Linked DNA regions of Drosophila melanogaster. The protein of the gene in region 2 interacts with the protein of the main gene of each other region in a pairwise test. Each region holds a gene or a part of one and is shown on either strand. Other genes may lie near its edges. The genes, in order: Cyp1 and Syt14.

Evidence for each region.
Region 1: the proteins of Syt14 (region 2) and Cyp1 interact in a two-hybrid assay, tested with the Drosophila melanogaster proteins (one large-scale study listed by BioGRID).

The regions. Positions count from the first base shown.
Region 1 is NC_004354.4:16,313,448-16,329,283, forward strand, and holds Cyp1 (cyclophilin 1), read right to left. Parts: upstream 6,924-15,836; 5' UTR 6,890-6,923; coding exon 6,632-6,889; intron 5,161-6,631; coding exon 4,735-5,160; 3' UTR 4,226-4,734; downstream 1-4,225. Other genes in the region: SWIP (strumpellin and WASH-interacting protein), read left to right, coding at 435-950, 1,012-1,218, 1,275-2,375, 2,438-2,690, 2,745-2,899, 2,966-3,392, 3,457-3,662, 3,723-4,166; CG9917 (uncharacterized protein), read right to left, coding at 8,601-9,506; CG32579 (uncharacterized protein), read left to right, coding at 10,021-10,250, 10,327-10,482, 10,632-10,762, 11,002-11,154, 11,209-11,618; CalpC (calpain C), read left to right, coding at 12,487-13,220, 13,295-14,606; CG9919 (uncharacterized protein), read right to left, coding at 15,624-15,836. UniProt on the Drosophila melanogaster protein: PPIases accelerate the folding of proteins. It catalyzes the cis-trans isomerization of proline imidic peptide bonds in oligopeptides.
Region 2 is NT_033777.3:4,313,124-4,330,938, reverse strand, and holds Syt14 (synaptotagmin 14), read left to right. Parts: upstream 1-11,869; 5' UTR 11,870-12,311; coding exon 12,312-12,357; intron 12,358-12,429; coding exon 12,430-12,591; intron 12,592-12,650; coding exon 12,651-12,983; intron 12,984-13,049; coding exon 13,050-13,285; intron 13,286-13,832; coding exon 13,833-14,816; coding exon of another isoform or gene 14,817-15,002; 3' UTR 15,003-16,484; downstream 16,485-17,815. Other genes in the region: CG9776 (uncharacterized protein), read left to right, coding at 691-839, 905-2,802, 2,922-2,932; CG9795 (uncharacterized protein), read right to left, coding at 5,104-5,242, 5,450-6,066, 6,128-6,209, 6,267-6,351, 6,429-6,602, 6,775-6,986, 7,050-7,252, 7,317-7,708 and 2 more; Suv3 helicase, read right to left, coding at 16,695-17,097, 17,152-17,781.

The DNA.
Region 1 (15,836 bases), on a different chromosome or scaffold from region 2:
TGCATATATTCATAGTCATTACGATTATGTATTTTTACCGCTGTTTCTTGAATCAAAAATTTATATTGCTTCTTATATAAATAAAATGAATTTATTATCTGAGGATTATTTTTGCTTATAAATTGTATAAATAAATCATTTATCGGAATAGACATGCTACCAACTTTTCCATTCAATTAATCGCGATTTTCGATTTTACACAGTTTTTGGGTTTTAACTACGCTTGTTTAAACAAAAGATATCGAGAATTTAGCGTTATCGAATCGGAATCCACCCACTTGAAATGCCCCATCCCTAAATTTGCCATGAGAAAACCAAAACAATAATATTTTTAAAATTGGTAGACATGAAGGAAGAGCAAAGCTCTATGTGTATGAAAACGCCGATATCAGCTATGGAATACTATTCTTATCTATATATTTTCTATTTCAGCTATGTTTGCCGAGGATATCCTACGGGATTACGGCTCCTTCATATCGGAGCACGATGGGAAATTGAAATTATTGCGAGATAAAGTGCCTAATCGGGATGTTTCCGAGTCTGCACAGTGTGTATATATGTCGCCCGTGGTCGAGGTAAACTTTATGGGCAACGATTCCATGGCTCCGGACAGAAGCTTTGAGGAATCGGAGCTGGTGGCCAATAAACCGCTGACAACTCTGGCGAATCTGTGCAATCAGTGCAGAAATCTGTCCAGGAAGGCAAAACGGTTCCAGCTGGCATTCCTTTTCAGCGACTTTCGATTAGATGATACGCTCCCGCCACATACCCACACATCCGAGGGTTCCGCCGGCTTGGAGGGATCCTTGGTCCGCATGAGCAGCTCCATGGACTTCTTCTGCCAGGTTTACTTCTTGCTCAATCGCATGATTGTGATACTCCAAAACCTTTGGAGACAAATAGCCGCATCTGTTAGCGTCCCAATGGACATCAATGAAGTCCACATATTCGTAAGTCAACGATCGAACTCACATCTCAAGTGTAGTAACCAATTGAAGTCGAAACTTGCAGGCTGTCTTTGATGCAATGAGTGAGTTACTGGAACACATAGTGGTATTCAATGAACTGGCGAACCAATCGAAGATATCCACCATGTGGGCGCTGTACAAGAAGTGGCTGATGAACCTATCCAATAGCCAATCAGCGAACTTGGAGCTCAATGGCCTTAGTACATCGCTAATGGATATAGAGAATCTGATCACCAAGGATTTCTTTCGGGTAAGTCAAAGAAAAACGTGAATGGTAACCGCCCTTTCATGGATATTTCCAAACAGATTCTACTGGACAATTTGATGGAATTGAAGAAGCAATTTGGCCTGAATAGTGTTAGCCCCATCACCCAGCATTCCAATGCCTATATTCGTAGGCAGCTTCTCGACGTCGACGCGAATCCGAGTAACGAACTTAAAAACTATGAGGATCCCAAGCACATTATTCGACTTACCACCTTCGTGGTCGTCGTCCATGAGCTAGGCATCCAGATGGAGGGAAAACTGGTCAAGAATGTGATCGATTTGGTGGCCAGGCATAAGCAGGTGCCTCTCAACCGAAGCGTTTTCTGGTCGCCTTCCGGATTCCTCTCTCTACATGCCAAAACCCTGATGAAGTCTTCAGCCCGATCGCAAGATGGACAAGGCCCAAAAGTTCATAGCACAGTATTGGAGAAGTTTAGGCTTAGCGATCAGAGGACCTGTCGCCAATTGGGCGTCCAACTATCGCTGTGGTCCATCCAAATGCAAAGGGTATTCGATGTGGGAGTCTTTGGACACCTCAAGACTTTTCTGCAGTTGATTCTCAATGGACACTCCTATGCCGATCAAGTTAACCTGCTGGCAGTCGCGCTGATCAATCGGCACGTGGCTCTGATGACGCCCATGACCAGAAACGATTGGATCGTCGTCTCTCGGTTGCTGCAGTACCTGAAGGTCATTCAGAAGACCTTTGAGTCAAACCAAATCAATTTCGTGCGCTTTATCAGCTCACTGATACAATGGCAGAAGCAAAAGGTCATACACCTGCTGCACACAACGAAAAAGAAGATAGTTGTCCTCAAGTTGCTGCAGCGCAAGATCAACTTTTTGGCCACAATAAAGCTGGCCGAGAAGTCCATTATGGGATTTCCGAGCAAGCAACGTTTGACTTTCGTAAATCTAGCCCTCGGGGAGTTTCTAGATAATCGCCTCCTGCCCGCCGACAATCAAAAGTTGATCAAATCGATCCTACATCGTGTTAATAGTATCAGCGACATTATGCGGAATATTGGTGGACAACTTAACACGTCGGAGTCCTCGAGTCTGGTATATAATCACTGGTTTCTGGACACTTCGGTGCTTAAGGAGTACACCGAACTCCAACGCAATCCCTACTCCTTGCAGGTTGGTTTCTTACTCAGTTTCTGGCAAAGCAACTTCATGTTTATGCCATTTATCATCGGCAGAACCTCGTGTCGGTGAGCCATCATCTGGACAAGATCATGGCCATGTTCAGGGGTTCAAGGTGTCCCAAGCAATCAGCGAATGACTTGATCATTGAGTTTTTGAGCAACCACCTGGAGTTCTTTCTGCGCGTGGAGGCCCTTTCGCATCTCTTCCAGAGCCAGGATCAACCATTCCAGCAAAGTGCCTTAGACTATCGTCTCTGCATCAATGCAGTTGCAGTTGAAAACGATGGTGATTACAATATTATAAAAGGTAAGATATCGGTTACAAAACTGAGAGATCATGCCATTCATTAACATATTTTAGATCATCTTGAGAACTATTTCACTGCCACGTTCTACAACTTAACGACAATCGCTCCGCACGACTGGAAATCGTATGAAAAGATGCGTCATTTGGCCAACAAGGTGCTGCAGCTGCAACCCATCGATGACCACCTGCCCAATCAGATAATTGACCAGGTAACCAATTGAATCATCAATAAGCAATCTCTTCTATTAACCAAACAATTCTTTCCCACTTTCAAGGGCATAGACGTGCTGCAGATCATGCGGAATATACACACTTTCGCCTCCTCGTATGCCTACAACATGAACCTGCAGGTGTTCGTGGAGACGAACAGCAGGAGCAAGCACCTCGACATCATTGGCACCCGGCACGTGGCCAACTCGGTGCAGACGCACGGCACCGGTATCATCAACACCACCGTCAACTTTATATACCAGTTTTTGCGCCAAAAGTTTTACACCTTCTCCACCTTCCTCCACGACGAGCAGATCAAGTCGCGGCTGCTCAAGGAGCTGCGTTTTCACACGGAGCACAAGCACAGCAAGTCCTATCAGTCGTATCCCTATGAGCGCGCCGATAGTTTTCTTAAGAAGATCAGAAGGCTAGGCTGCTCCAGCAATGGCGAGACGTATATGGATCTTTTCAGGAAGGTTATCACACAAGTCGGTAGGTGGTTAAAGACCATAATTCAAGAAAATGCTTAAAATATAAACGTAAATATTGCTTTTAGGCAACGCTGTTGGCTATGTGCGCCTCCTGCAGGCTGGAAGCAAGAATGCCAACTTCCGGAATCGCTCGTATAAAACCAGATTCGACAGCAACTTCAGTTGCGGGGGCTCCAAAGTGCACGAGGCTACGGAGGGTTCCATCAGGGAGTACGAGAAGAGCCTGGGTCACATGAAGGAGTGCTATTCCGATAGCACAAATTACTTCAAGGTGCAGTCTACGATCTTAACAAGTTAGGTAACCAGCTTAACCCATGGATTTATATTGCAGCTTCTTCTGCAAGGCTTTCAGCCCTTTTTGTGCAATCCACATAACCACCACCTGCGAACCTTCTACCTCATCACACCGGCGCTCATCATGAACTACATTGACTACCGGGTCAAGCAGAAGCTAAAGATCTACAAAAAGGACCAGACCAAGATCTCGCTGTTCGAGGATGGCTTCGCCATCGGCCTGGTCTACATCCTCAACATGCTGAACCAGCAGACGGAGTTCCATGAGCTGGGCTGGAGCCAGACGATCACGCAGCACCTGAACGCGGAGCGCTCCAAGGTGCGCGACATTTTGGCGGGCCAGCAGCGGACGGCGCCGGAGCAGCTGGACGAGAAGCTTCACCAGACAGTGGCGATAACCGAACGACATGTGAACGCCTACGAGCATGAATACAATCTATTGTACGCCACCTTGAGTAGCTCCGAAATATTCTTCCAATAAAATATGTCCATTTACCAAAACCAAAGATCCCAGCAGTGACAACAAACAATTGAGTAGTTGGTTGCCGTTTATTCAGATTTATTAAGACGAAAATACAATTCCGATTCCGGTACATAGCGTAGAACGTTGGTATATATATATATATATGCAATTAGATAATCAGCATTACTAATACTATTATTAGTAGTAAGTAAGCCAACATCAAAAGATCAAACATTTTTCTAAGCCCCTCTCGACTCTTGTCGTCTCATTGTTTTTCTTCTTTGTTTTTTTTTTTGTGAATGGAAATGTTAAAGTTACAGATTTAATGCATATTATATAGCCAATTGAACGCTTTCTGACATTGGTGGGCACTAATTCTATTCACTTTTGGCCCCCACATACAATTGATTGGCCAAAGGAAACCCAACATGTCTATTGAAAATATGTTGGTTTGTTATGTATTTTTCTCGTAATATTACAGTACAGTAATTGGTAAAAAAAAATGTTTTGGAGAAAATGCAAATGGTTTTCGTCTTAACAGATTTTTCTTCTTGCAATGTTGCTGTTGCTTTTGCATCGCACCTTCTTAAAGAGAACCAGAGTTAGCCACAATGATCTTCTTGGAGGTCTTGCCAGACTGCGATCCATAAGATTCGATCTTCTTGACCACATCCAGTCCCTCGACGACCTCGCCGAAGACGACGTGCTTGTTGTCCAACCAGGCGGTCTTCACAGTGCAAATAAAGAACTGGGAGCCGTTCGTGTTGGCGCCAGCGTTGGCCATCGACAGGATGCCGGAGCCGGTGTGCTTCAGCTCGAAGTTCTCATCGGGGAACTTGTTGCCGTAGATGGACTTGCCGCCAGTGCCGTTGTGGTTGGTGAAGTCGCCGCCCTGGCACATGAAGTTGGGGATGACGCGGTGGAAAATGGAGCCCTTGTACCCGAATCCCTTCTCGCCGGTGCACAAGGCGCGGAAGTTCTCGGCGGTCTTGGGCACGACATCGGAGCGCAGCTGCAAAATACAAACAAAAGGGTAGAAATTTCGTTAGTAAACAAGAAATTAATGCTAACAAAGTATGACTCTTTTTCAGTTCTTCAAGGTTTGTTTATCCGAACTCGGATGACCTTGCCACTACTTTTTGCTTATTTATTTCTTTTTTTTTTTGAGGACTGGACAATTTTCTGTATAATTCATGTTGAGCGGCAGTAAACATGATCAGCTGTTTTTTGACGCCGCTTTTTTTTCATCGCCATTTTTAGCCCTTTGATAATATACATATGCATGTTCATATGTATGTGCATATCTATACCAAGGGAAAAAATACATATAATGCACAGAACTTTGCAAATGCACTAGAATTTGAGCAATTTTCCAATTCACCCAGTAATCGAGACAATTGTATAAATTAGTCAAGTAAATGCTTTTCCTAATGCCGCTTCTCTATAAATCTTCAATTGTTTAGTGTAGTAATTCGGCGTGAAGTGCAGAATTTTTCGCGCACTGCATGTATGTTCAAGTGTGCGTATGTACATATGTATGTCCTATTGGAAGGAAAATCCTAGACATGTGGCTTGGTTTACTTGGCGGGCAATGACTTTATTCCCAGGCCACTAAAAATATACATCAAGCATTCGCGTTTCCTATTCTTTTTCTCTATTCAAAAATTAGGTGTACATTACATCATCGGCGGAATTAATAGTGAGTTCATGTTTGCAAACGGGTTTACAGAACTCGCGCATTCACACCCGAATATCTCTGTGTGTACACTGTACATCTGCGCGTACATTACCCGCATGCACACATGTACATATGCAAGCACGACAAGAACATACAGACATACGCGAGTGACCGCTTAGAGGTTATGTTCGTGTATTGATCTGCATGTGTGTATGGGTATGAGCCACACATACGCAGACCACGCCGGAATGTACATATATAGCACACATGCACAGATGCATATAAAATACCGGTAAAAATTGCACACCATTTCGGCCAAAGTTTGCCGACACGTCAATTAAAATAAGGAAAATTCCATTCTATAAAGATAATACCACCAAATGGCCGATTTGCGGGGGTTGGTGCTCCTGCTTGCCTGTTTGCTCAAAATTCAGCGATGTAGAGATAATTATAGAGATTTTCCGATTAAACGCGCCTGTCCAATTGGGTTGGAAAATTGAAAATTTACCCATAGCGCATTGTCATGCAATTAGTCATGGAAAGTAATTGCACTTGTCGCTTATAAATTAGAGGGCGAGTTTGCGCTGTGTGTATATTTGGTACAAGTTTTAAATCCGTAAAAATAAAAAGAAAAAAACGGTATGTACTTATCACCTGAGGCAAATAATGTAAAACACAGTCTTAGCTTTAGGCGTAAGAAATGGCTTTATGGGAAATCACGTGTTTTTCACTTTCTGGTCAAATGTCACAAAAAAAAAAACCTCAACTTAAGTTTAAAATTAAAAAAAAAGGGCAAATAACTCACCTCCATGACGATCCGACCGAGGGGCTCGTTGTCGGCGGTCATATCAAAAAACACCCTAGGCAAAGTACTCATCTTTGACGCTTTCGAATATTCGCGAACAATCTGAATTCCAAACTGCAACTGACCCCTATTCACACTGCACGCTGACGAAGCTAGGGTTATAGATTTGTTAGCTAAAATGGCGGACTCCGCAATCTGAAATGCCGCTGCCGACCTGTGCCGAAACTGTCGAATCAGAGTTGCACAAAAAGAGACCATCGTGTATGGCTTGCGACCGCATGTACGATACTACGATATCGTTCCGTGCGTTCCATTCCGCGCGTTTCGCTGCTGCTGCGGTCGCAGCAATTGTTACATCACTTTAGGGCGCCCATAAACGCACTTTGTGCTGCCCATTCCCCCATCAAAACGGATAAATGGTCGCGTTCATGCGCCCTTTTTACAATTTTTATAATAAATAAATACATTTACTTGCGCTCATTTGAAACCGCCAATCGAAACAACGCATTCGCCTTCGTTAAGTAAATATCTTACAAAAAATTACAGCATCGTGATCAGCGATCACTCCTAAAAATCAAATATTTTTTTGCTTTTAAAGAGCCATTAAAATATAAAACTTAAAGTTGAAATAAACACAAGACTATTAAAAAATTAAGATAATTGAAAAATAGTGGTCACTTTGAAATAACCATTATTCTAAAACAGCACATTGTAAACCCAAAAATCACGGCGAAATCACAGGATTATTATAAAGACTTTTTAAGCATAAATTGTTAAAGCATATATGCAGCTATTTCTATAGCTTTTTAAAAACAAATGTATTAATTATTTTTATACATGTATTCATTATTTTAAATTACTTGTTTTAAATATTAACGTTTCGATAGTTCAATTGTGCGTGTCGCATTTTCTATTTTGCCATTTTAAACTATAGTTAATAACTAATAATAGTGTTTTACAGTATTAAGTCTTACAAACTTTTAAATGTAATTTGGAGAAACGATGGAAAATAAATAAATAAATATAAATAATTTTTGTTTAAATGGCACGATAAAAAATAATTGACCTAACAAGACAGCCTGTTTCAAAATTATTTTTCGATTACTTGAAATGATTGCTCACAAATAATCAGCAATTATCGGAACAATGTTTTCAAATTTGTTTTCCGCTTTTTCTCGCGCCTTTTGTTGTGGTTTTTCTGCCGCGAAATTTGAAAATGGCGTTCAAGGTGAAAACTAGTTGGTGATTCATTTCTGAAAACGTAATGAATGCAGCTGCACGGTCTCAACTACTCTGAGTACTTTTCACCACCTAATTGACCTTTAACTCCCAGTTTAAATGAACTCGTCCTTCTTTTTACATTTATCACTTTATTATTACAATAATGATACGTATATTCATTTACAAAACATATCCATTCATTGTTTTTACATATATAGCATTTCATTTCCCAAACCCATACCCGATCCACTATGAAATAGTGAGATTACCATTTGCCTCCCTCAGTGAATTTAAATGAAAGAGATTAATACAAACCCAACTCGAATCAGAACCGCAAGCCACGCCATTTCATTAAACGGAAATAAAGCATTAGATAAACGCATGACAAAGGCCAGAAGAATTTCTGATTCAGAAGTAAAACTAGAAGGAAGTATAAGCATTGTTTACAATACTACATACATACATACATCAATTGGCAATTAATTACATAAATTAGAAGCACCAAACAAAAACGATATGGCTGGCTAGCCTGGAGCAGCAGCACCTTGGCATGCTTATCCCCGAAAGCGGTTGAACTATGGACACCTGTTCCACGGCTACATGCATATTAATATAAGCGAAGCAAAAGCTTAAAAACAGTGATTATCGTGCTCTTTGATTAATCGCTTTGGAATGCCAAAGTCAAAGCGTTGAGAAGGCGTTTTACAGATTCGGATTCGAGATATATAGCGGACGCCCAGACTTAGAACTAAGAAGACTTTTGTAGAGCGAATCGCAGGATTAGCAAAAAGATGCCCACATGGGTCCACACTTGATGGAATACCCGACTCCCTCCGCTGGCGGCAGCCGCAACGAGCGGCGATTTCTGATTGTCACGGCACATCGTTTGGTTCCGAATGAAGTTGAACATGGACTCGACGAGATTCGCCGGTGTTATGTCCGAGCATTGCTCCAGTTTACGGACCACACACGCCTGCAGAGTCAGCATCTCGTCGCACTGTTTCTGACCGACCGTCAGCTTGGGCATGCTCCTGATGCGGTTGTCCTGCAGATCCGACACGTTCAGGTACTCGGAGAACGTGCTGTTCACGCACTGCTGAATGTTGTCCTTCTGGGACTCAATGCATTCGGGTCCCTTTTCGGCAATGAACAGGGCTATCTGATCGCCATCCTTGTGGCACACAAAGTTGAGCAGACTCTGGATGATCTGCTTAATGACATCCTGGCCCTCGCGCTCCTCCTGCACCAGACAGGGCACCAGTTTGGCCGTGAACGCATCCACACACTCGACGGCATTCGAACGCCGGCTGCAGTACTTGTTGAAGACCACATCCAGTTCGCCCTTGGGCGACGCTTCCTGTATCTCCTGCTGCATTGCCGTGTAGTTGACAATGCCATTGAGGCACTCGGTTAGCACCATGAATCCGGACTCGATCTCGCCGTATGCCTCGACGCCCGCCTCCTCGCCGGCCACCTCGATGCATTTGTTGCGAAATAGCTCCTTGGCGTCGTTCACGCTAAAGTTTGACTTCCTCAGCTGGTCGGGCAGCTGGGTCTGGATCTGATCCAGGTCTAGCTGGGCCATTATGCCGGCAGTGGCGAATATAACCAGCCAAATGGCGTATATCGCATGGCTTACATATGTCCTGTGCATGATGTTTGCTGTATTTTTTGCACTCCTCTTTGTCTTTTTGCTTGCCTCCTCTTCCGTTATTCTCCTTTGCTCTGGTTTTTAAGCTCTGAGATTTGCACTTTTGTTTGTGATTCTATGCGCTTCAAGCAAACATATTTGTTCGTTTTGCGAAATATGCCTATGCCTTTGGGCAATTGGAAAAAATTAATTTAATTAGGAAATCACTGGATGGAAATCCCAATTGGAGATTCTATCCCACCCGTCGGCTAGAGATGGCACTTCGTCGATGACGCTTTCGATGCAACAGCTCACTATCGGCTTTCCGCCGATAAAAGCGTACGATCGATCTATCTCTAGTTCAAATGAACAAGTTCTCGTAGAATTCAGTCTTTATTCTAATCTTCAGTGTTTTGTTTTTTTTTTTAGTCGAAAACCAGTGTCAGCAAGTTGAAGGCGAGAGTAGTTTGGAGGTCGAGGCCTTGGATATTTGTGTGTGGCTAGGGTGGCACATGTGCAATAAGGAGGCGGAGGAGACATGGCCTCCGCGGAGCAAAGAACCGAAGTGGACGCCCTTATGATGGGGCCGATCTCGAAACTAAGCATGCTGCTCACTGTGGTGTCCATTCTGTGGCGCTTCGTCTCGATTTGCATCAACTGGAGCCTGGCGTACGTGTACTGGATGGAGGAGTCCTACGGATACTGCGCCTGGACCATTGGCTCCATTCTGGTGCCCATGGTGGTCACATCGGTCATATATATACATACGTATGTGACATATCGCGATAGCGTGTACTTCCCCCGAAATCTACAGCTAAACGATAAATTTGTATTTGAATTTCAGCTTGAAGAGCGCTCATGCCGGCGAAAAACGCATCCTGGAGCGAGGGGTGTACTCAAATGCTGTGATCTCATATCTCTTCCGCGATGTCTATGTCCTAAACTATGCGTTCAAATACTCGTTGGCCAAGGAGCGGGATGACAAGCAGGCGGAGATCGAGTGAGTAATGCTAGTGTCAGTGTATAAAACTAGTTAATAGTAGCTTAATGCCCTAAATGGTAGTACTGCCGTTTAGTTTATCTTCTCTTTTCATCATAAGTGAGCACTTTAGAATGTTTATAACGAATATCTGAATTCTTATCTTACAGATATTACCAAAAACTCATGACGGAGGAGTGCAATGTTAGTTTCGTTCGTCTATTCGACTCGTTTTTGGAATCAGCACCGCAGAAAATACTACAGCTGGCAATTCTTTTGCAATCGACATTGGAGTTCACATGTAATACGATATTAATACTACATTAGTGCCATATTTCAATCTCTCTCTCTCTCTGCCTTAATTAAGATAACTAATGCATAAGTAATTTAAGCTTATAAACACCAAATTCTGACGTTCACTTTCGCAAATCAAAGTCAGTTTAGGCGTTTAGCCTAACTCATTGATTGTAGCCAACGAAAGTGAAACTCGGAATGGAAAGTCGATGGATGCCATTTACCCATTCAAATTTCTTTTCCCAGACTACCGCCACATCGCCCTGATCGTCTACTTCGGCAACATAGCGTGGTGCATCCAGGCGTACAATCACTCCAATCGCCTGGCCCAACTGGACAAACATGATATTGCGGCGAAGGGACGATTTCTGCAATTTCTCTTCCTGCTCTGCCTCACTGGTTAGTAGTAGTTAGTTAGCTGTGTTGCTTAGAATGTGTATATTAAGCTTTTAGTTATTCGCTTTTATTTCGTAGTTTCGAGAACGCTTTGCATCGCGTATGTGGCCAGTATTTTTCCCATCGAAACGCTGATCATCTGCGCGACACTGGCTTGCTTTTACGGCACCATTGTGTTCTTTGTGGACTCGCCAATGATCGCAAAATCCCGCCCCATGAACTATTCGTACTGCCTGTGCTTTGGCGTTGTCTATCTATTTATTTTTACGCCCGTCAAGGATGCACCAACCAAATATAAGTACGCCTTCTATCTCACATTCTGTTTGTTGCAAAATATCATCGCCTGCGCTTTGTACATTCCCTTGTATCTTGCCACAGCCATCATTGCCTTGTATATTGTCGGAATTGTTCTGTTAATAATCTACTACACGTACTGCCATCCAAATACTGTGCGTACTTATTTTTAAAATTCTAGCATAATTAGTAGCATTTTGTATATTTGCAATAAACGTTGTTATGCCCACTTGTGATGCGCCTTTGATTTTCAATTGGCTTAAGCTGGTTTCAGATCTAATCTAATATCTAATATGCATTGTGTTTTTATTAGAGGATATATACATACATACATACACACATATGTATATGCAAATTTGATTTCATTTCTAGATTTTCTATCGATATTTGACCATCGATTAACTGATAGTTAGGTTTTAAATTTAGTTAGAACTTTTCTTTGTAGCGGAACATCAACTAAAGGATATATATAGATATATATAATATAAATGTGAACTATATGAATTGAATGTGACACAATATAGTCGCACATACATATATATGTACATACATCTATGTTTGTATTTAAGTGTCATTAAAAAGATGTCATATTTATGTGTTAATCCCGTGTACTTAATTTGAAGCGCTTACTAAATATTTTTCAAATGCAATGCCTTTCTGTTCAACTAGTTCCCAAATATTGATCAGCAAATGCATCATAATTGAATCGATCATTCCAGATGCGCATGCGCAACGCGCCAAGATGATGGAGTCGCGTATCTGAACTGGCGCATCTGGAACCAGTTGGCGGAGTCGGTGGCTGCGATGGAGTTTGGGGCGCAATTAAAACGGTTCCCGCAGATGAACCGAACGGAACCGGTTCGGGATCGAAGCTAGAGTTGGCTAAGCTAGTTGGCATTGTATATTTCATGCAGCTGGTTAACTTTCACTTCGGCTACGAGGGGCGGAGACCAAGGCAAATCGCAGTGGGACTACGACTAGCAGGCATCAGGATAGCAACTCGAAAGCGGAAGTGATGCAAAGGATATCGAAGCCCAGAAGATGGCATCCAAATACGAGCGCATACTGAGCGATTGCAGATCGAAGAACGTGCTGTGGGAAGACCCCGATTTCCCCGCGGTCCAGTCTTCGGTCTTCTACTACCAGACACCGCCGTTCACCTTCCAATGGAAGCGTATCATGGATTTGGCGGATAGTGGCTCCGGTGCGGTGGCTGCCAACAGTTCGGCGGCACCAGTGTTCCTCAACGAATCGGCGGAGTTCGATGTGGTGCCTGGCAAAATGGGCGATCGCTGGCTGGTCTCCTGCCTGGGACTGTTGAGTTCCCTGAGGAATCTCTTCTATCGCGTGGTGCCCGCCGATCAGACACTGGCCAGTGCTCACGGCGTCTTTCGTTTCCGTTTGTGGTGGTGCGGCGAGTGGGTGGAGGTACTGGTCGACGACCGTCTGCCCACCATCAATGGACGGCTGGCGTTCATGCAGCCGCAGGCATCCAATTGCTTTTGGGCCGCCCTGCTGGAGAAGGCCATTGCCAAGTTGCACGGCTCCTACGAGGCCCTCAAGTACGGCACTCGTTCCGACGGACTCACTGATCTCCTGGGCGGCGTGGTCCGGCAAATGCCCATCCTGTCGGACAACATCAGGCCACAGACGCTGAAGGAGCTACTCACCACCACCTGCATTGTCACCTGCTTGGCGGACAAGAGCGCAACCGTGGCCAAGAAGAATCTCGCCGAGCGCATGCCCAATGGGATTCTGGTGAACGTTAACTACAGGTAGGACATCCATCGATCTATTACCTTCTAATGTCTTTACTACTGCAACGACCATTTGCCATTGAAACTTACAGACTCTCCAGCCTGGACAAGGTGAAGACCCTGATGGGTGACTCGGTGCAGCTGGTGTGCCTGAAGGACACGTTCTCGAGCAAGCCGTTCGGCGAGAAGACGCACTTCCTCGGCGACTGGTCACCGATGTCCAAGACGTGGGAGCGTGTCTCGCAGGTGGAGCGAGCGCGTCTCATCCGGCAACTTGGTCCCGGCGAGTTTTGGCTGTCGTTCTGCGACTTTGTGGAGATTTTTAGCACCATGGAGGTGGTGTACCTGGACACGGAGACGTCCAACGACGAGGAGATGCTAAAGAGTCGTCCGCTGCACTGGAAGATGAAAATGCACCAGGGCCAGTGGAAGCGAGGCGTCACCGCCGGTGGTTGTCGCAATCACGAGTCGTTCCATATCAACCCCCAGCTACTGATATCCGTGCAGGATGAGCAGGATCTGGTAATTGCCCTCAATCAGCACACGGCCGTGGAGCCGAAGGTCATTGGCTTTACGATGTACACATGGGATGGCGAGTATATGCTCAGCGAGTGCCTGCAGAAGGACTTCTTCAAGAACCATGTGAGCTATCTGAACTCGGACTATGGGAATACGCGGCACGTTAGCTATCATACGCACCTGGAGGCGGGTCACTACGTCCTCATACCGACCACCTATGAGCCGGCGGAGGAGGCACATTTCACGGTCCGCATCCTGGGCACCGGATCCTTCCGACTCTCCTGCCTGGAGACGCAGACCATGATACTGCTGGATCCATTTCCGGCACTCAAGAGCACAGATGCCGAACGGTGCGGCGGGCCGAAGGTCAAGAGTGTGTGCCAATATGAGCCCGTGTACATGCAACTGGCGGATGAGAACAAGACCATTAACTGCTTCGAGCTGCACGAGCTCCTGGAGGCGTGCCTGCCCAATGATTATATCAAGGGTTGCGCCAACATCGACATCTGTCGCCAGGTGATCGCTCTGCAGGACCGGAGCGGCAGTGGTCGCATCACGTTCCAGCAGTTCAAGACCTTCATGGTCAACCTGAAGTCCTGGCAGGGCGTCTTCAAGATGTACACCAAGGAGAAGGCGGGCATATTGCGTGCGGAGCGACTGCGCGACGCCCTCTGCGACATCGGTTTTCAGCTGAGCACGGACATCATGAACTGCCTGATCCAGCGGTACATTCGCAAGGATGGCACGCTCCGGCTGAGCGACTTCGTTTCGGCCGTCATCCATCTGACCACCGCGTTCAATCAGTTCCATTTGAAGAACTACGGGCAGGTGAACGTGATCGAGGTGCATCTGCACGACTGGATCAAGAGCATACTGAGCTGCTAAAAACCCGCACTCCACTGAATTTCTAACTACACATTCTTTTTTTGTAATCCTAAGATTTTATATACTGGTTAAGGATGATGATGACGACGACGACGATGATGCAGCTGATGTTGATGATGCTGATCTGCCAATCAAAAAGCCAGTTTCGCTCGAAAGATTTCTTAGTTTCGAATAACTTTCTAAATCAGCGAGAACTTCGATAATATACTCTTTTTTTTAAACTTTCCGTATAACAAATTGTTTCTGGAACTATAGCTTTCTTTCTGAGGCTAGAAAATCCCCTCTGCGGCTTAAACCCATGACAATATCTTTATATATATCTATATATATATAATATATATAGAATCGAGCGAAATGGCCAATGCGATTGCAGACTTTTATGTACTACTGAGAATTTTTATTATTATTTATTGTTCTTATGGCTAACAATTAAACGAGCGCTGAAGGCGAGACGTGTTCAGAGTATTTTCAAAATCTATGTATGTTTATTTATTCCTGACCCATGACCCCTGACCCCGATCCGGGCGTGAAGGACTCCAAGTGATAGGTTGGTAATAGCTATATGCAGATACAATAGTTGGCCTTTCCGATCAGCGTTAGTTGGATTATCTGATATAGTTTTAATAGTTGCGGGTATTATTTATAAAAGACGTGTGTGTGTGTAGTGTGTTTACAAGCGAGTATTTCGTGCACGATTATTATACATGGTACACCAGCGGATGCAATCCATAGTGGGCTTAAAATGAGCTACGATTCAAGCAGTTGTAATCCTGTTAGCCCGGGTTGGTCTCCTGGACGCACTGCTCCTGTGATCCCCGAGAACAGCCCGCACTTGTGCCTCACTCTTTTTTTTTTTTAAATAGTCTAAAATATCAGCGTGTATTCACTGCGTTCTGCAGTTTCTATTGTGGACGACATGACCGGATCTCTCTTCTCCCATCTCCGAGTATCCCCGATCTCAATCCCAATGGCCTCCATTCCATGGGAAATGTACATTACCCAATTGACAGCATGGATTTACATGGATGTTCCGTTCTGGGAGGAGGCATCGCTGATGCGACGTGACAGCGTCGTCTTGCGGCTAATGGACTTGGTGTTGCCGATCTGATTGGCGCTGGTATGATAGTTGGAGCTCGAACCGCCGCTGGTCGGGGTGTCAGTGTTCAGTGATTCCACAGTTCGCATCGCCGAACGCTTCAGGGAGCCAGTCACCTCGTGCGGCTCCTGGTA
Region 2 (17,815 bases):
TTATGTAATCTTACTACAATCATAAGTTAACAATAAATAAATGGAAGCCTATAGAGGCATGTCCGTTTGTATGAACATCGAATTTTTGGGAACTATAAAAGATACCTAAGCATGCAGATTCTATTGAGGTTTTCGTGGCGTAAGTTTCTTTTAGAACATTGTCACACCACAAAGGCCACAAACGGTGGCTATTCTATGGTATTTGACGCCCAAAAACTGTCTCGCCCACACTTTTTAAAAATTTCATTATACCCGTTACTCGTAGTAAAAGGGTATACTAGATTCGTTGAAAAGTATGTTACAGGTCGGACTCGTTTGTGGCCATATAAAATAAGGATATTCCTGATCAAGATCACTAGCCGAGTCTGGCCATGTCCGCCTGTCAGTCCGTTTGTATGAACGTCGAGATCTCAGAAACTATAAGAAAAACTTCGAGAAGATTTAAGTTTATTCATTTCCCAATTTCTATCGACATGCCAAAAAAAATTTTATAGCTCTCGTTCGCACTTCCACTGAGTCACCAAAGGGTATCTAATAGTCGGGGACCACTCTTGTCAAAACTAACATAGGCCTTCCACTTACCTTTCTCGTATATATTTTATAATTGCTTTTATTAATTCTTCGCCTCATGCAATTATTCTCCTGTCAATTTGGAATATATTATTGACTTTTTGTACCCGTGCATTGCAGCAATTTTTAAATCAGAACCCCAACTATGAAATAGAGTGGCAAACAAACCGCGAGCGGGCCATGAATCAACAGAAAGATCACGATGATGCCAAGAATAAAAAGTCCAAGAAAGACGAGGACAAGGCGTCCAAAAAGAGGAAAAAAAAGGGGTAAGGGTCATAAGAATAATTTGAATCCAGATTATATTTTATATTTGTTTCTTTTTTACAAACAGCGGGGACAAAAAAAAAAAGAAGCGCAAGCACGGAAAGAAGAGCAAACGTAGTACAATAGATGCAAACAGCACATCGTCATCCTCCGATAGCTCTTCGTCGGAAGAGGAAAATGGACAGCAACCAAAGAAAGGTCGTACCGAACAGCAACCAATTTGTCAATCAGATAAGTCGACTAATGCAGCATCAATACGAGTGGCCATGAGAAAGCAGGAAAGCACACCAACAAATTTGAAGCCGGAAGTGCCTTGTCAGCCTGTGGTGCCGCCACCGCCACCGATCATAAAGGATTCCACAATTCCTTCAGAACGGGGTAAATGGACTGCCGCCAGTGTCGAAGACCAAAGTAAGGATCAAAAGAACCGGGATGATACCATGCTCAAGCAATGGAATAATGTGCAGCCTGTTATAAGTGAGAGTGAAAAAAAGTTGTTGGAGCAGCTTAAAGGAAGGCTGAAGAACAAGGGAGCCCGCGACCAGAACAACCACAAAGCAGTACCAACAGAAGCGAATGATGAAAAGTTTAGGCGGGGTGGAGGACGTCATTCTCGTTCACGTTCTAAGCGGCGCAGCTACTCTCGAAGCATAAGTCGCGGGCGGGATCGAGATCGGCGGGATCGTGAGCGAGATAGAGACCGTGGTCGTAGGCGTCGGTCACGCAGTCGTGGCCGACACTTCTCTCGTTCGCCCATAAGATCTAGTCGAAGAAGTCGATCCCGTCAGGGCCGAAGTCGACGCAGTCGTAGTCGCTCTATTGAACGGGTAGAGCGTCCCGTGGTCAAGCATTCCGAGTTTCGGCCCCGTACTGTGCCGGAACGCAAGCAAACTGATATAAAGCGCGACAAGAAGGATGCAGAAAGCAAGTCAAAGTCATCCAAGCCCAGTAACAATTCCTTGCCTGGAGGCAAAAAACTACCTTTCATCGGTAAGATGCCAGTATTTAAAAAGCAGTCTGTTCCATCTTTCAACTATGATGCTTCTGCTGTCTACACCAACGGCTGTTTGGAGGCACCACCTCCACCGCCACCTCCATTGGGCGGAGCGACAAGTCAGATAGCTGTGCGTCAACAAGCACCGACAGCTGCGCAGATTCAGATGGCAATGATGGAAGATGCTTTTGGCAATGCTCCCCCATTTCATCCAGATGCGGGTATGATGGTAGATTACGATGAGCTAATGCCAGATCCTGTCCAGTTCGCCAATTTAATGACGAGCTGCCCACCACCTCCGCCGCCTGGAGAAGGCTCTGAAGGTGATGCCCATGGCCCTGAGGATGGCGATCAGCATGACAACGAAAACCGAGAGGACGTCTTGCCCCCAGGCATTGATGAAGCTGAATCTGCCCTGGTACCGCATCCGTTAGACGCTGCGGCACAATCCCGAGACGGGGAACTCCCAAAGGACCTGGTCGAAGCGCTTGACATAATATTCCCCAGCGACGTAGCGATTTTGGAGGCATCAAATGGAAACAGTGAAAAGCAGGAAGATGTGACTATCACCACCATTGTTGAAGATGACGCAGTGCTCAGTGTGATTCATCTTCAAGATTTAGCTAAAGAGGGTATTCACCTTGTAACTATCAATGAAGCAGAGGTACCTAAAAAGTCACATATTCAAACATCGGAGAAGATTGAAAAGTTGCAGGATTTAAATGGCAAATCGGACGACGGAGTAAACATAAAACTGATTGACGCAGAGGATATCCCAATGCCGAATTCGCCTCCGGCTGAGCCGTCATTTGACGAGGAGACGAAAAGCAAGGCCTTACAGAAGCAAGCTGATATCTCAGAAATACCAGAGCCGGCTGTATCGCCTTCAGACAGTGAGAAGCTTCGTCGTCAGTCGGAGCTTGACGAGTTGGCTATGCTGGGAATCGACAGGAGTGACATGGCGGCACAATGTATGTAGAACGTGTCTTTCTTTGCTATGTATATTATTCTTTTTTTTTAATTAAATTAGAAACTGTGCTATTTGAGTCTTAAATGAGTTCTACATTATTTTTTCTATATATGTGCATAGATGCTCTGTAAGATTTGAGTTGACTTGGAGAGGGCGAAAGGCAAGTCCCGACGCCGGATACACGGGCGGACGAATCGAATAACACGTCAAGGAGCCCCATAAAAAGGAACAGTTTTAGATTTTAGATTGGCACCTGTGTATGAGTGTTTTTGACGGAATGTTTTAAATAAATGCGCATATATGTATGTAATATATGTAAGAATCCTAAAAACGTTTGATTTATAATTGCTTTAACATACACTGCGCGTCATCAGATTAGAGCCCCCTGCATGTCCCCGTTTCTTCTTATGTTCTGTTTTTCTATTTTGTTTTATTTTGCCATTGCATAAAAATATATCAATTTAATTTTTTTTTTGTTCACTGATATTCACCTCTTTGAGGATAAAAAAAGGTCCTGAAAAAAACCGTTATCTTTTTAGTTCTGCTTTGTTTTCTTTTCGGCGAAAAATTGGACACGTATATGGCATCATCAGATTAGCGCCCCATAATGAAGTTTGGAATATCTTCCATAATTTAAAAGGTAGGACAACAAAATTTTGTATGCTGTTAAATTGAATAGTTTGCTTTAATTTTGCGAAAAAATGGGACGAGGCACGCGAAATCATAGCTTTCTATGAATGCGGGCTTTCTTTTTATAAAATTGCAAACGGCAGACATCGCAAAACTATAGTCAATTTTATTAAAAACAAGTGAACTTATGGAAAAAACTATAAAGGTGGCAATAACATTCCTTATCGAATACCTTGCAATTCCCACGACTCCTCCGACAAAATTCGGGGTAAAAGTGGCGAAAACCCGAGCAAATCTTTGATTCAAAGAGTGATTAAGAAAACTAAACATTTGAAACACAGAAAACTGAAAAAAAACATCTCTTTATAAGTTGCGAAAAAAAGCACGACTGAGTTTTGCTTGAGCTTATATGATCCGGTCTAAGGAGTGGCATTATGTTGTATTTTCGGACGAGAAGAAATTTATCTGGAGAAAGCAGACGGCTATAGTAATTACAACCATGATTTGCGTATAGAGGAGCATATTTTGGTTCGCTTTCACAGACGGGTTGGAGGTGTCATGGTATGGAGCGCAGCATCTTATCATGGCCTCTGTGAATTCCAGTTTTTAACAGCAAAAATTATATTATTATATATAATTGTGTATTAAAAAACTGCATTTCCCTATTTTAAAAACATTTTTGGAAACATGGATTCAAAGCGAAATGTAAAAGTTCTGGGGCATGGTTGGATGGGAAGGTATACGAGGGTGGTAAACAATATGCCACTCAAGAGGAATCGATCACCGAAATAAAACTCGGTTGGTCTACGATTGCTTTGGATTACCTACAAAAAAATATGATTCACTTCCCAGACGAATGTGTGAAGTCCTTGAAAACAAAAAATCCTTTAAAAATATTCTAATTTAAATATTTCAGTGCTTAACATCTAATTTTTATTTACTTGAATAAAAATCTATAAACAACAAACTGTAACCCAAATAAACTTTTCATTTATAGAACTTTTCAACTCTTAAGGGAAAAAAATTTTCAAAGCTCTCGCTTACTAAATATCTCACATCAAAAAGTTTTGCTTAAGAGGCGCTGACCTGGTGACGCGCAGTGTATTAAAAAACTATAAAAACGCATTCCGTTCATGTTAATGTTTATGTTTATGTCTATTTATATGAATATATTACATTTTTACATTTTTTAATTAAATGGCACTTAACAAATATGGTTAACAATTTTCATTATTCAACCTACTTAATTATTATTTAAATTCTAGGCTTTTTGCGTCTATATAGATTTTGATTTTTGTTCATTTCGATAGGTACAGGTTTTCTTAGTTAATCATCCACAAAATACAAACACTGTTGTGCAATGCATCTCAATTAACTCAAAATGAATTAAATAATTTATGGACCATATTCATTTAAAAATTTAGTGACATTTATTTTTAGTAGACAAAAAACAATGAGTTTCAAAATTTTAAATTACAGTTGACACTTGGTAAAAGCATTCTAGTTAATACATTTGAGCTTACGCACAGGTTATTGGGTTATAATAAATTTTGAAACATAAGATGAAGTGTCGTTGATGTGATAATTGTCGTGTATCCAAATGCTATAAGTGAGTGACACGCATTTTGTGTTGGCGCAACCCTTTTGCTTTTGAGGCGGCTTATAGCTAAAACTATAAGTCCGTAATCGGAGCGTCCGCCACGCTGAATTTCGATGATAGCGTTATGTCCGCTGCAGTGCTTGATACGGTCGGGTTCCTCTTTGTCTTACCTCTCACCTGGTCACTTAGGTCTTCAACCAATTTCTCAAGGCTATAATGTTGCCCAGTATAAATAACCATTGAAAGATAAAAAGGAAGTGTACAATTTGTAAGTTTTAGGATTAGTTACCAAGCTCAGATAGTGATTAAAATGATTAGTAGAATGTGACTAAACGTATATTTAAAACGTCCATGCAAGTGAAAGTTAACGGTGATGGGTTAGTTTAAAAATGTAGAACAGAGCATATACTACACCCACGCAATTATACGTTGATTTGTCTCCTTACGTACGGAGGCCGCCTCGCTGCGCTCCCGCTTTAGATGAGCGTGGTCCTTCTTTCGTGGTAGCAATGGCGGTGGAATTCCCGGATTGATCTGGTCAGAAGCCAGCGCAAAAGAGGGAGGGCTTCTAACTGCTTGCTTTTCTGATTTAGGTATCTGTGAGTGAGGCGTTAAGTTGGAGGGAGATTGATGACCGATGTTCAAACACGATAAACTGTTGTTGCCAGTCAGGGATAATTCTTCTCCGTCCAGTCCTACTTGCTCTACTAACTGCTCCTCTTCTATTTCGTCGTCCTCTTCCAAAGAGTGTGTCGTTTGGATAGGCGTTTGATGCATTGTTCCATAATGAAGGTTTAAAGATTTTGCCCGTCGTATTCCGAGGGCACCGGAACCCACAACTCCGCCGCCACCCCCATTCGGAAATGGCTTTCGGAATCCATGGGATCGGTCATTTTCGTAAATAATGTCGTTACTGATTGGCCGCTGGTTATAACAACCGGCCAGAGCTTGACGAAGGCACTTGTTTTCGGATTCCAGATGTGAGAGGCGTTTGTTAGTCTCCTTTTTCTCCAGTCGCAACTGCATTACTTGGGTCTACAACCGAAATCGAATTTTTAGCTTTTAGCTTTTTATGCACATTTATTTTAGCACTCACCTTTAGATCGTCTATATCTCTCAGAATTCGGACATTTCCCTCGTTTAAGGAACACTGACGTTCTTCAACCATTAATTTTACTCTGAGAACAAAATGTAATCAACACTCTAAATATACTTTTTAATTTTCGACTTCTTACCGACTTAGCAGTGCATCTTCGCGTATGCGCGCTGCCTCCTTCACTTCCCGCACGACATCCGTCATCATTCCTGGAGTGTAGGCGCCTGAAAAATGGGAAGCGAATATAACTTATTACTCACTCCTTTGCATGGCATAGTTGGGGGTAGCGTTTATGTTATACCTGAGTGAAATGTGGGCGCTGGGCTGTGTGTCCCTCCCAATCCACTGCCAAGAATAAGAGGTTGACTTTGTGTGCTTAGCCCGCTTAAGCTATCTCTACGGTGCCGCATGCCCCCAAAGCCTACACCTGCCCAGTGCTGGCTATTAGGGGAGTGCTTTAAAGCTTCGATATCAACTATGATTGTGTTTGCAAGTGCAAGGGAGTACATAGAAAGAGGAAATGGGTGGCAACACATTCTAATTAGCATACGAGTACAAGTAAAATAAATCAGAGATTTGTGTAATTTTGTCGTAATTTGGGAAGCATCGTGACATCTAAACTGGACACAATCCTACAAACCACACACCTTTTGTATTATGCAAATTCCGGCAGATCTTGGAATTGGTGTCGTGCAATATGTTTATTTGTTCCATTAGAGCCGCGAAAAATTTGTTTTGATGTGCCAGATCACAGCCACTGCCATTGTTGTTCACATTTCGACACTCTGGTGTATTCTGGCCACTCAGCTTAGAGTCATTATCGGAGGGGTTCAGTAGGCACGGATCGCTGAACCGAAATCTGTTATCACACGGTAAGTACGGCTCTTTAATAATTCATTACGAATTTATTGTTTTTGCTTACCCCTTGGTAAAGTTGGGATTGCTTTCGCTGCCATCCAGCACATCCGTCGAATTCGGTTCCTGATCGCACCCAAGCCCTTCCGGCCCTCCCATCATGTTGTTCAGGGGAGGCAAGCTTGCAAACTCCTGGCCACCATCACCATAGCTGTTAAGGCTCTGGGGTGGGAAGAGCATCGGATATCGATGGCTAAGAGAGTTCGAATTCTGTAAAAATAAAATAAAGTTGGGTGTGCGTTGTACAAAATATCTTGCAATAGCAACTACTCACGCGCTGTATCCCCAGGCTAAACGGTGTGCCTGGACCCACTCCGTAAGGCTGGGTTCGCTTCGAAAATTCCTGTTGCCTCTGCTGCTGTAGTTGCTGTTTAAGCTGCGGCAGCTGCTGCTGTTGAGTCAAAAACATTTGCTTATGAGCTGGTGCTGTGGGCGGTATGAAGTCCAAAAACTCAGATGAAGAAGACAATTGGGCGTTGGTGGCATCACGTAAACAGCTCTCCAACCAGGCATCAAGGTGATCGTTGGAATAGTTAATATCGGTTCTCTTGACCTCACCGATGTTCGTTTGGTTAAGAGAGGTCGCCGCTGCTTCAGTTTTTTGGGCCAATGGGGAAGGTGGTACGTTACGCGACCTTAGTTTCTTGCGCTTGGTGGCATCCGTAGCTGAAGGAGAATTTAATTTGAGGTCATCTTGACAATTTCAATAGTGCAGGTCCTAGTGTGGACAGATTACGTAGCTAAAGGCTTCACGGCTTTCACTTCCAGCATTGACAAAGTGAAAACTATTACACGAATTCAACAATTCCGGACGTAACGCTCAACTCGGCGGCTAAACTAGAGTTGTCTAAGTTACTTTAGCCCAGAAAAACGTCTGGGGCAATTTGAAGCAATTTTAAGACTATTTTGGTTCGTTTTTCAATTGTTAAAACCAAACGGTTTTCTTTAAGTCAAGCAAATACTTGGTTTTTATAGATTGAGCAAACTCGATGCCCCTTTCGATAAACGGCCAGTAAGGAGAGCAAGGAAATTACTCAGAAATGCTTCTAAATGTTGAGGGATTGTCACCGAACCTTGAAAATATACATATTCTGGATTAGGATCACTAGCCGAGTCGATCTATCAATGTCCGTATGTCCGTCGAGGTCTCGGATACTATAAATTTCATAATAAGAAGCAAGCTTGTTTTGCAACTAACCAAAGCTGACACTCCCACCCCTAATTTGTTGTCATTTGACTGTATATATTGTTAATTTCTATTGATTAAAACTGCCACGCCCACACTATTGAACATTTTCAACTTTTTAATCAGATGTATGTATACTCATATACTTACTTAATATACATATGTACTTTATACTGTAATATTAATTTTAAACAAACAGTATATATTTTGCCCACCTTATATAATTCGGGAGTTAGGTAAATAGTTTCCGTTATTTCAATGATATATCTCGGACAAAGGCATCGTAACAAATAAAATTAAGTCGATTACTGACCGTGAAATCAGTCAGTTTGAATAGATTAAATCTTTTCGTAATTATAGTGGCTAAAAATAAAAGGAACCTTAAGATCAAAAAATGCAATATAACATGTTTATTATATCAAAATTAGTACAACACAGAAGAAACTTAGAGGTTTCTTAACTTTGCAGGGAATTATAAAAGGCGTAATGTACAAAATTAACCTAATTGATTTATTATTGTGTTTTGTATTTATTTAACATTTCACTCACTGATTTGGAATTTAATGTGAATTTTGAGTTTATAATACCAAGTTCTTTAAAATAGACTTTATAAACAACCTAGATTAACGGATATTCAATATTTCGGACGATGATCTCGCTCACCTCTCTGTGTACTGTTCAGACCCGCTCCAGTAGTGACCTTTTTCTGGGCACCGATCCCGCCGTTATTTCCTGGCGTTAAGCAAAAGCTGTTGCCAGCAATCAGCGACGTCACTTCTGCGGGGAAATCCAACCCACCGCCGTTTGTGCTTATCTCCCTCTGGCTGGAAGTTGTCGTTTCCTCCCGCAAAACGCTCATGTTGCTTCTGAAATAGAAAAAATACGGATAGTTAAGTATTGTTAAGCGAGGTTTTTCATTCGTGCGATTCCGCAGTGGACCATAAAAACTGGAAGCACACAGAAATTAACCCACGAAAGACTCGATGTTTGTACCTAGTGCACTTGGGGGAGACAATAAACAGAAGTGAAACAGCAAGAAAAATCCTCAAGTTACGTATGCAATCCCTGGAAACAGCCGTACGATTTCTCCAAACACTTGCACGACCACCGTCACAAACTGTGCTGTGGTTGCAGAATATACAATGTAAAAACATTTAAATGTATGCAGGCACAGACCAGTGGAATGGCACTTAATTGACGAACAATAAACATTTATTCACTTATTGATCTACAAATGAATTTAGACGAATTCACTAACAGATAATAGAATTTTCCAGCGGTAGCCCTAAATCAGCGTTTTGTGTCTATAAAATTGTCAATGAGGTTTAACAGTTTACAATACGATTGATAGTTCAACTAAAAAACCTATTTACCAGTTTTAAGCGTTGTTTCTATTAGTATGTAACATCTAGTAATACGTTCGGGATGAAAATAGGCGGTAGCTTGGATTCAAGATAATTGTATCTACTCCCACTTTAACTGACTAAGAACGACATTGGCAGTAAACTCTGGCCACCAAGATGAACGTCAGTCAAGTATAAAGAGAAAATAAACATTCGCCGCTTTTGGGTCAAGTTTTTTTTTGTTGGTGGGTGGTTGCCAGCAAATATACATACTGCAAGTGAAGACATACCAATAAGCATAAGGTATTTGGCAGCCAATTGAAGTGGCTGGTGCGTAATCTATGCAGTCGAGTTAACCGAAAATTAAGCCGCCAAACCAAACCGGTTTCACCGCTGTGTCTAATGACCTTTCCATTTAACAAATTTTAATGACACCAATAAAGAAAGGCTGCGTTGTCAATGGAGATGGTGACATGGCCCACAGCGACTCCTTCCCGCGATCAATGACTAAATGCACACGGCGACAAAGAGCTGGAAGAGCGAGTCGCTTGGTTTGTTGACCCAATCGAAGAGCACTATACATACATATGTACTTCGATTGCTTGAGCTATATTGTAGCAAATATTTAAACCCTGGCAAAAAATGTGAATTAGATATTGACTTGGCTGGCGATATTGATCAGGAATAGATATACTTGATATGGTCGCAAATATCTCCACCACTGCGTTAAAACCTTCTAACTGAAATTAATATACATTCTGCAAGGGTATGAAGAAATTAGGATTGACAGAAATGGAGTTGACTTGAAAGTTGAATACTAGCTTAAAAGCTCAAAAGACCGGGAAACGACATTGTAAGTTTTTGTAGAAATTCCAAGCATCTACAGCTGGGATTCCCACGCCATTGCTCACTGGTCCACTGCAAAAACTTGCTTACAATAGAATATTTTCTAGAAGCTCTGCGAGGATATTTTATATATTTGGAAGTACACATATATACCTAACGAAAAATGCCTTGGTTGTTAGATTCAAGGTTAGACAAACTTTTATTTTCATACAAAAGCGTTATATTATATGTATTTAGACTGCACTTTGCCAGATTCCAGTTCGGCTTCGTGCTGCTTTGTGTCGAAAAGTTTTGACACGCGCTCAACTCTGGTCTGGGCTCTTGGTACGGGAAATCGAGTTTTCAAATCCCTGTTCCACCCCCATCCCACCCTCTCGATTTTCATTGTGTGCGAGTGACTGCTGCGAAATGAAAAGCGAAACGACATAAGATGACGTCGTAGACTGGCTTTCTTCCTCCTGCTAGCTCCACCAGCAATAAAGAAACGAAGTAATCGACGCCAAGGAGGTGGTATCACGGTACCACCGCGGTATTCCGCTTTGTGGGGGGCACTGAGCACTATATTTAGCTGTTTAGCCATAATCATATTATCAGAAGCGTCTCAGCGGAATTTGGCACACACGGCACTCACACTTGCCCAGTGGCATTGGCCATCCAAAATTTACTTGCGTCACAATTGCGGATTAAATGTATTGGACTTTCAAGCACGGCGTGGGCGCGGTCACGGTTTTGCATACGGTGTTCTGACAGGCGGAAACATTCAGTTTGAGCAGCGACAAAAAATTAAGCGCACAACGGAACTGAGCCAATTCATTAGGCATTTATTTTAGAGGTGGGCAATCTGCGATGTGCCGTCAAAGCGATGACTTTCGCTGGAACAGCGATTGTTGCGATTATCGATACCTGCTGCTCGGAGTGTTATCTGCTATCGAATAACAGCGCATTTCATGTATGTAAGCATGAGTAGCTCTAAAAATTTTGACCTAAATTATAAGGCTCTTTTTTAAACAACCGGACAATTACCTGAATGGAGCATACAATGTGCATTAATTCTGATGCACTAATTCCGCTTTTCTTAATTATTTGGTTCAAATTTTTGAACATCAATAACAGGCAAACGGTCTTGGTCTTAACATTTTATGAAACCGTGGCTACGACTAACGTTTAAACCTTCGAATGCATACGACACGGAGAGAATTTTTATTCGAGACATTCTAAACAATTACAATTCAAGAAATCACAGCACAGCACAACCAATAAAAAAGAATCCCGTTTCTAAGTTTTCAGCTTAAATCATCCTCCCAAACACAAAAAAATAAGCAACAGTTGTTACTGCGATGCAACTGTCGAAACGGAGCTTTTCCGAGCCCTGTGTGTACACACACTGGGGGTGGAGGGATTAAGCTCCAAAGTGCTTGCTTTGAAGCAGTTTTTCCATCGAGTTTAAGGCAGCTCATCCTAATTCAGTTGAATTAAATCCTGAGCCGTTTGATTTTTATTTCTGAATCTCTCGTTGCATGATTCGCAGTTTTGGGATCGTGCCTTCAAGAAATCGAAAGTGATTAATAGGATAGAACAGTATAGTTGTTCCTTCTATAATTTGTTTTACGATTTTGCAACCAAATCTCAGATGAACGGTTCCGAAATACGGAAGGGCCAAAAAAACGGGTAATTCGGAGTACACCAGCTTCCAAACGACTTTTTTGCTTTGATCCCTAGTCGTTGTCTTGCGAAAAATCGATTCCAGTTATCCTGCGACGCTGTGCTGTCAAATTCCTGAGCTTTTGCTTTCACGCTGCAGTGAGAATAATTTTTAGTGACTTGACTTGTGGTCCGGGTGCAATGAGTTGCGAGTAGTAGACTCGTGTTCGCCAGGATCCTCGCATGAGCCAAGATGATTGTTACCTCCGCTTCTGGACTGGATAGCACTCCGACGCTCGGTACGTAAAAATGTATATGCACCCCACAAACCACACCATTCTGACCTGAGCCGTGACTGTTAAATCTTTCAGGCACCATCGAGGTGACCACTTTGCTGGGCGCCTTTTTCGGCGTCCTCGTTCTACTGCTCCTGTTGTTTCTTTTCATCAGTCGCAAGTGCTGTTTTCACTACCGCCATGCCATCAACTGCTGCGACGAGCGCCACCTTGCAGTCAAGTGTGTGCAGAAGATCAGTGAGTACCGTGTTTCGTGGGGATTGGGGCTGACTGGCTAACTTTTAAGTATCCCGCAGCCCGCAAAAGGCGTTACGAGAACACCAGCTCCGACTCGGAGGAAGACATCTTGAGGCGCCTGCGGTGGCATCAACAGCACCAACTGGGCGAGAAGCCTGGCGGATACGGGCTGGGAATCAGCCAGGCTAATCCGCTGACGGCGCAGAGCTTCAACTACCACCAAGCAGGCGCAAGTGCCGACCTGCAGCGTGTGACGGTGTCGCGTGACCCCTTAGCCATCGCCGAGCGTGGCAAGGTTGGAATCCCGTCATCGCACAGTGAGTGCAGCTCGAACGATTCCATGGAGGTCTCCGTGGACAGTCACACAGGCGTCCTGACGGGTCTGAGCAAAGGTAAGCAAGGCGGGGTCAGGGCCAGCTAATTGACAGCCGTTGCAATGAGTCACGACCTTTTGACAGCCACAACCACAGTTCCCCACCCGGCGACAGCCTTCCGCAATCCGTGTGGAGAACACCGGGCCAAGACCCAGGCACTGAGGTACCAGCACCGGGTCAACGTGGCTGCTCCGCCAAAGCTGGACAAGGAACGGGACAACGTGCTGGTGGTGCCCATGGTCAATGCCTACAGCATTAACAACAACAACAACTCGATAACAACCAGCAATAACCATCCCAGCAGCAACAACAACGATGACGTAAGTTTTACAACATAAGAGGTACTTTAAATACCTATTCCTTTAAAAGAAACTATGCCTAGAAAGGCATTCAACTTTCGGTCGGACTCGTAAAGTTTACCCAACAAGCATAGTCGAGTCTAACCGACTCTTATGGTCCATATAGTCTGTTAACAATCTTTTTTTGCTTGACAAGTTAAAATTCATTAATGCGTTGTATAAATTCATTAATGCGTTGCATGTGTAAAATAAAAGTTTATTATCTTAACTTTGAAAAATTATGTGCACCGCATAAATTAAAAATTCTTTCTAAGAAATATAATTAATCTGTCAAAATCCGATACTTTGCTAAAAAATAAATTAAAGTGTTTAAGTTACTTTACTTGCGAGTACCAATTGATATTCCAAAAACTATTTATCCCTAGGCTCTTATTATAAAATCTTTTTGATGGGTAATGCGTTCTTGATAGTCGAGGCACTCAACGATAGCATTTCATATTTTCTTGTACCATGCTTTAGGGCTTTTCATTGAAACTTTTTTTAACATACAAAACTTTTCAACTTCCAGGAACCCCTATTTGACACCAGCGATTTGCGCTCGATCAAGTCGGATGACCTACTGGTTGGTGTGGACCAGAAGGAGCCGGCCGTGCAGAGGGGTCCCATCGAGCTGGAGCTGTCGCTGCTGTACGACGCCCCAATGCGGAAAATGACGGTGCACGTGATGCAGGCAAAAAATCTTCCGCCCCTGGGTAGTGGGCAGACCACCCACACGCAGGTCCGGATGCTGATGCTGCCAAGCAAAAAGCAGAAGCTCAAAACCAAGATCCGTAGCGGCGAAAATCCACAGTATATGGAGAGCTTTCTTCTCCATCGCGTCAACCCAGAAGATGTGAACAACATGGGGCTGCGTGTGCGGCTTTACGGCTGCGAGCGGCTGCGCAAGGAACGCCTGATTGGGGAGGCGTATGTGAGCTTCGCCACTGTTGACCTTGAACTGGAAACAAACCTATGGCTGCCGCTGGAGCCACGAAACACCTCGTCGGGCCTGGGTTCTACTAGCGATCTGTTAAGCCTGGCTCGGTCAGAAAGCGCGGGCTCCACCTCGTCCATGCAGCACGGGGGCGTCTCCGAGTTGCTGCTGGGTTTGAGCTACAACGGGGTCACTGGGCGTCTGAGCGTCGAGATCATCAAGGGAAGCCAGTTCCGCAGCTTGTCGCTGAACAAGGCGCCCGACACGTACGTTAAAATGGTTATGGTCAGCAGCATCGGACAAGAGATCTCCCGGGCCAAAACGTCAATCCGCAGGGGTCAGCCTAACCCGCTTTTTAAGGAGACATTCGCCTTTCAGGTGGCCCTGTTCCAGCTCAACGATGTTACTCTGATGATCTCTGTGTACGCCAAGCGGCACATGAAGAAAAACGAGATGGTCGGCTGGTTCAGCCTGGGTCTGAACTCGTCCGGATCAGAGGAAGTGGCCCATTGGGCAGACGTGTGCGAGATGCCCAAGGGAGAGATGCTGGCGCGTTGGCATGTGCTGGTGGACTCCTGATTCGAGCAGCTGGGCCAGTCATCCGGACGCAGCGGAAAGGCCCTCCGAAAGCTGAGTCTCGCTGCGTTCAAGGACCGGTCCCGCGAGAAGAGCTCAAAGGAGTCGCGTCTGGAGGAGAACGGAGCTCAATTCCATGCAGCGGTTGCACTTGATATTGAGCCAGGCCTGGAGCTGGACTTTGTCTAAAGCAGAGGTCTGTGTTTGTGATTTGTTTTTACAAGGTCGATGCCAAATGACGACTGCTGTCGTCAAGTGCTTGGCTCAGGATGAGACCGACCAAGAGGTAGGGTCATCCGAACAATCTAGCCTAGACTGGGCCATAAAATATTTGTAATTTGGAATCAATTTGGCACACATTTTGTTTATAAAATGTAGGAAATATGAAATATGAAAGCGAACAAGAATAACCAGAATACTCAAATTTTATACGCAAGTACATACACGAAAAGTACATACCAGTACTTATATGTATAACTACTCGAAATTTGAATTTTATGATTGTTTGTGATAAAGAATACTATATGAAATATCAGATGTCCGAATAGAGCGTATTTAAGATTTTGAGTGTACATTTGTACATCTGTGCAAGCTACGGATGAGTGACGAATTTTTGTAATTTACCTTTCTGCATCTTATATTTAAATATTAAGCCCGGCATAAGATGCCCAAAGTCTGTTGAGACTAGCACTTTTTTATTACCCAAATATGAAAACCGAAAACACATAGGAACAATTGTAGCCAATGCATACGTACATACAATACATCAAACCTGCAACTTACATACCTTAACAAACCTACGTACATAGGTAACTCTTGGTTTTTTGATCAAGAGCCATGCGCATGTTCCAGTTTTGATATTCAAAGAAATACAAAAGTATCGGTACCTTAGAATTCGAACGCACAAATACATATTCTACATTCGAAGATAAGTTGGAAAAAATGTTGGTAAAAATACTAGGACATCTGTGAATGCAAGCATGCCGATTCGCGTGCCAGGCGAGAAGATGGATTTTATTAGAGCTTTATTTCGATTTAGGGATCGGACTAAAGAGCACATATGTATTTAGCTGCTCCGCTAAAGTATCTGACTATCGTTGACGGTCGTTGTGGCTGGATTTTGCAATGGTCAATGAAATGAAAGTACTTTGGTTTTGCATTAGAGCGCAAGAATGATATAAGTTAAACTTATAAAAAGAGAAACCTTAAAGCTTTAATAAATATTTAAAGAAATTGTTTTTTAAACTCAAATTAAATCGAAACCTAAAAAAGCAAAACTATTAAGGTGTTGCCATGCGCATCCAGCGTAATATTAATTTGTATGTTGAATCATATTCAGAGTATTTATATCTTTTAAAAATCTGTATGTTTTAAGTGTCGAATATTTTATAACCGCAATTCGAATGAATTGGTGCTCCTTATTACTGCAAAGGCCATATATAAGCTAAGTCTATAACTTCATTTGGGAAGGACAGCGAGGATAAATTTAACTAACTAATCGAAATCGTTAATGTCGGTATTACATATTTCTAAATTCAACAGTGCAACGGCTGTTAGCCTTGACACAAAGTTCATTTTTGTCAAGTGTTTCAGACCAAAGACACTAGAATAACTCTAGTGTCTAATAATTCTAGTGTCTTTGTTCAGACTCTGCGTCCCTCCATAAATTGCAAAAAAAAAAAAAAAAACAAATTCATTTTCTTTTTCTGACAGAGATAACATAATAAAACTTTTAAATTTAAACAATTAAATTGCCATTGTTAATTATCAACTAAATAATTTTAATATAACTTAATTGCCACTTAAAATAAAAGTATATTATATAAAAATCCATTTCTTACCTACTTATTTCGTATTCTAACTAATCCTGAGCTGGCACGTTCATTTTCTGCGTTTTTTCCTTGTCTTTCGCCCGATCCCTGAGTAATTATCCTCGTCGTCACTATTCACCACTGGTTCCGAATTTTCATTAGATTGCGAATTGGATTTGCCAAGTTGCTGGGCGTCCCATTCCTTGCGTAGCTCGCTAAGCATGCCTGGGGTAAGAAGACCCTGTGCAAGTAACCTTTCGGTGAGACGGCCACGCGACAAGCTGGGTAGACGAGGCTCCTTCACGTGCGTTATTCGGCGGATTGCATAGTTTGATGTTTCTCCGTCCTGACTCGCCTCGGTATTTTTAAGCAAGCGAGTTATTTGAAAAACGCCCTGCTGTATAATTTCGTCCAGTTCCTTCTGGGCATCTCGCACGTAGGCCGCTTCAGGGAAGAGATCCATGAACCGATAGCTGCAAAACAAGTTTGATTAGATTTTTTCTGAAGCGCACTTGTGCGAGACTTGCCTTAGCCAAAGATACAGATCCATCACGTCAAAGACGGCCTCAAGATGGACCAGGTCCAATATCGTCTTGGGTAGCTTGAATGGCCAGCCACAGTTTTTTTTTATAAAATCAAAGGTAATAGGCTCGTTGCGGCTGTATTGCCGTGCTACCTTAAGGAACATTGAGCAAACAAAGGGCATCTTTCGATTAATAGGTGCACAGCAGAATACATAGCGAGCCCGCAAAGGCAGAGCAACATGTTGTATCATTTCGGCTAAGAACTTAAAGTCTTCAATGTTGCACATAAAGTATAGAGAATCATCGACAGTGCACAGATTCACGAATATGTCCATTAGGTTGCTCAAAGACGAGCTTGGCAGGTGGTAGGCGTAAAGCTCAATCTGATCGGCCGTAGGATGCAAGCCCGCCTGCTTTATCGGCTCAGGTGTCCGAGCCAATATCCGCTGTAGGGTTTGCAAATCCTCGGACTTGAAGGCAGTTACATATCCGTGCTCCCACTGAGTTCGGAACCGGCCCGCTCTTCCCGCAATCTGAAGTGCGGACGAAACCGATATTGTGTCGATTTCGCGCTCGCCTCGCTCATTCATCGACGGCTTGATCAGTGAGTAAAATATGATTCGACGAATGCTCCTGCAAGTACATTCGCGGGCATTATATTTTGGCA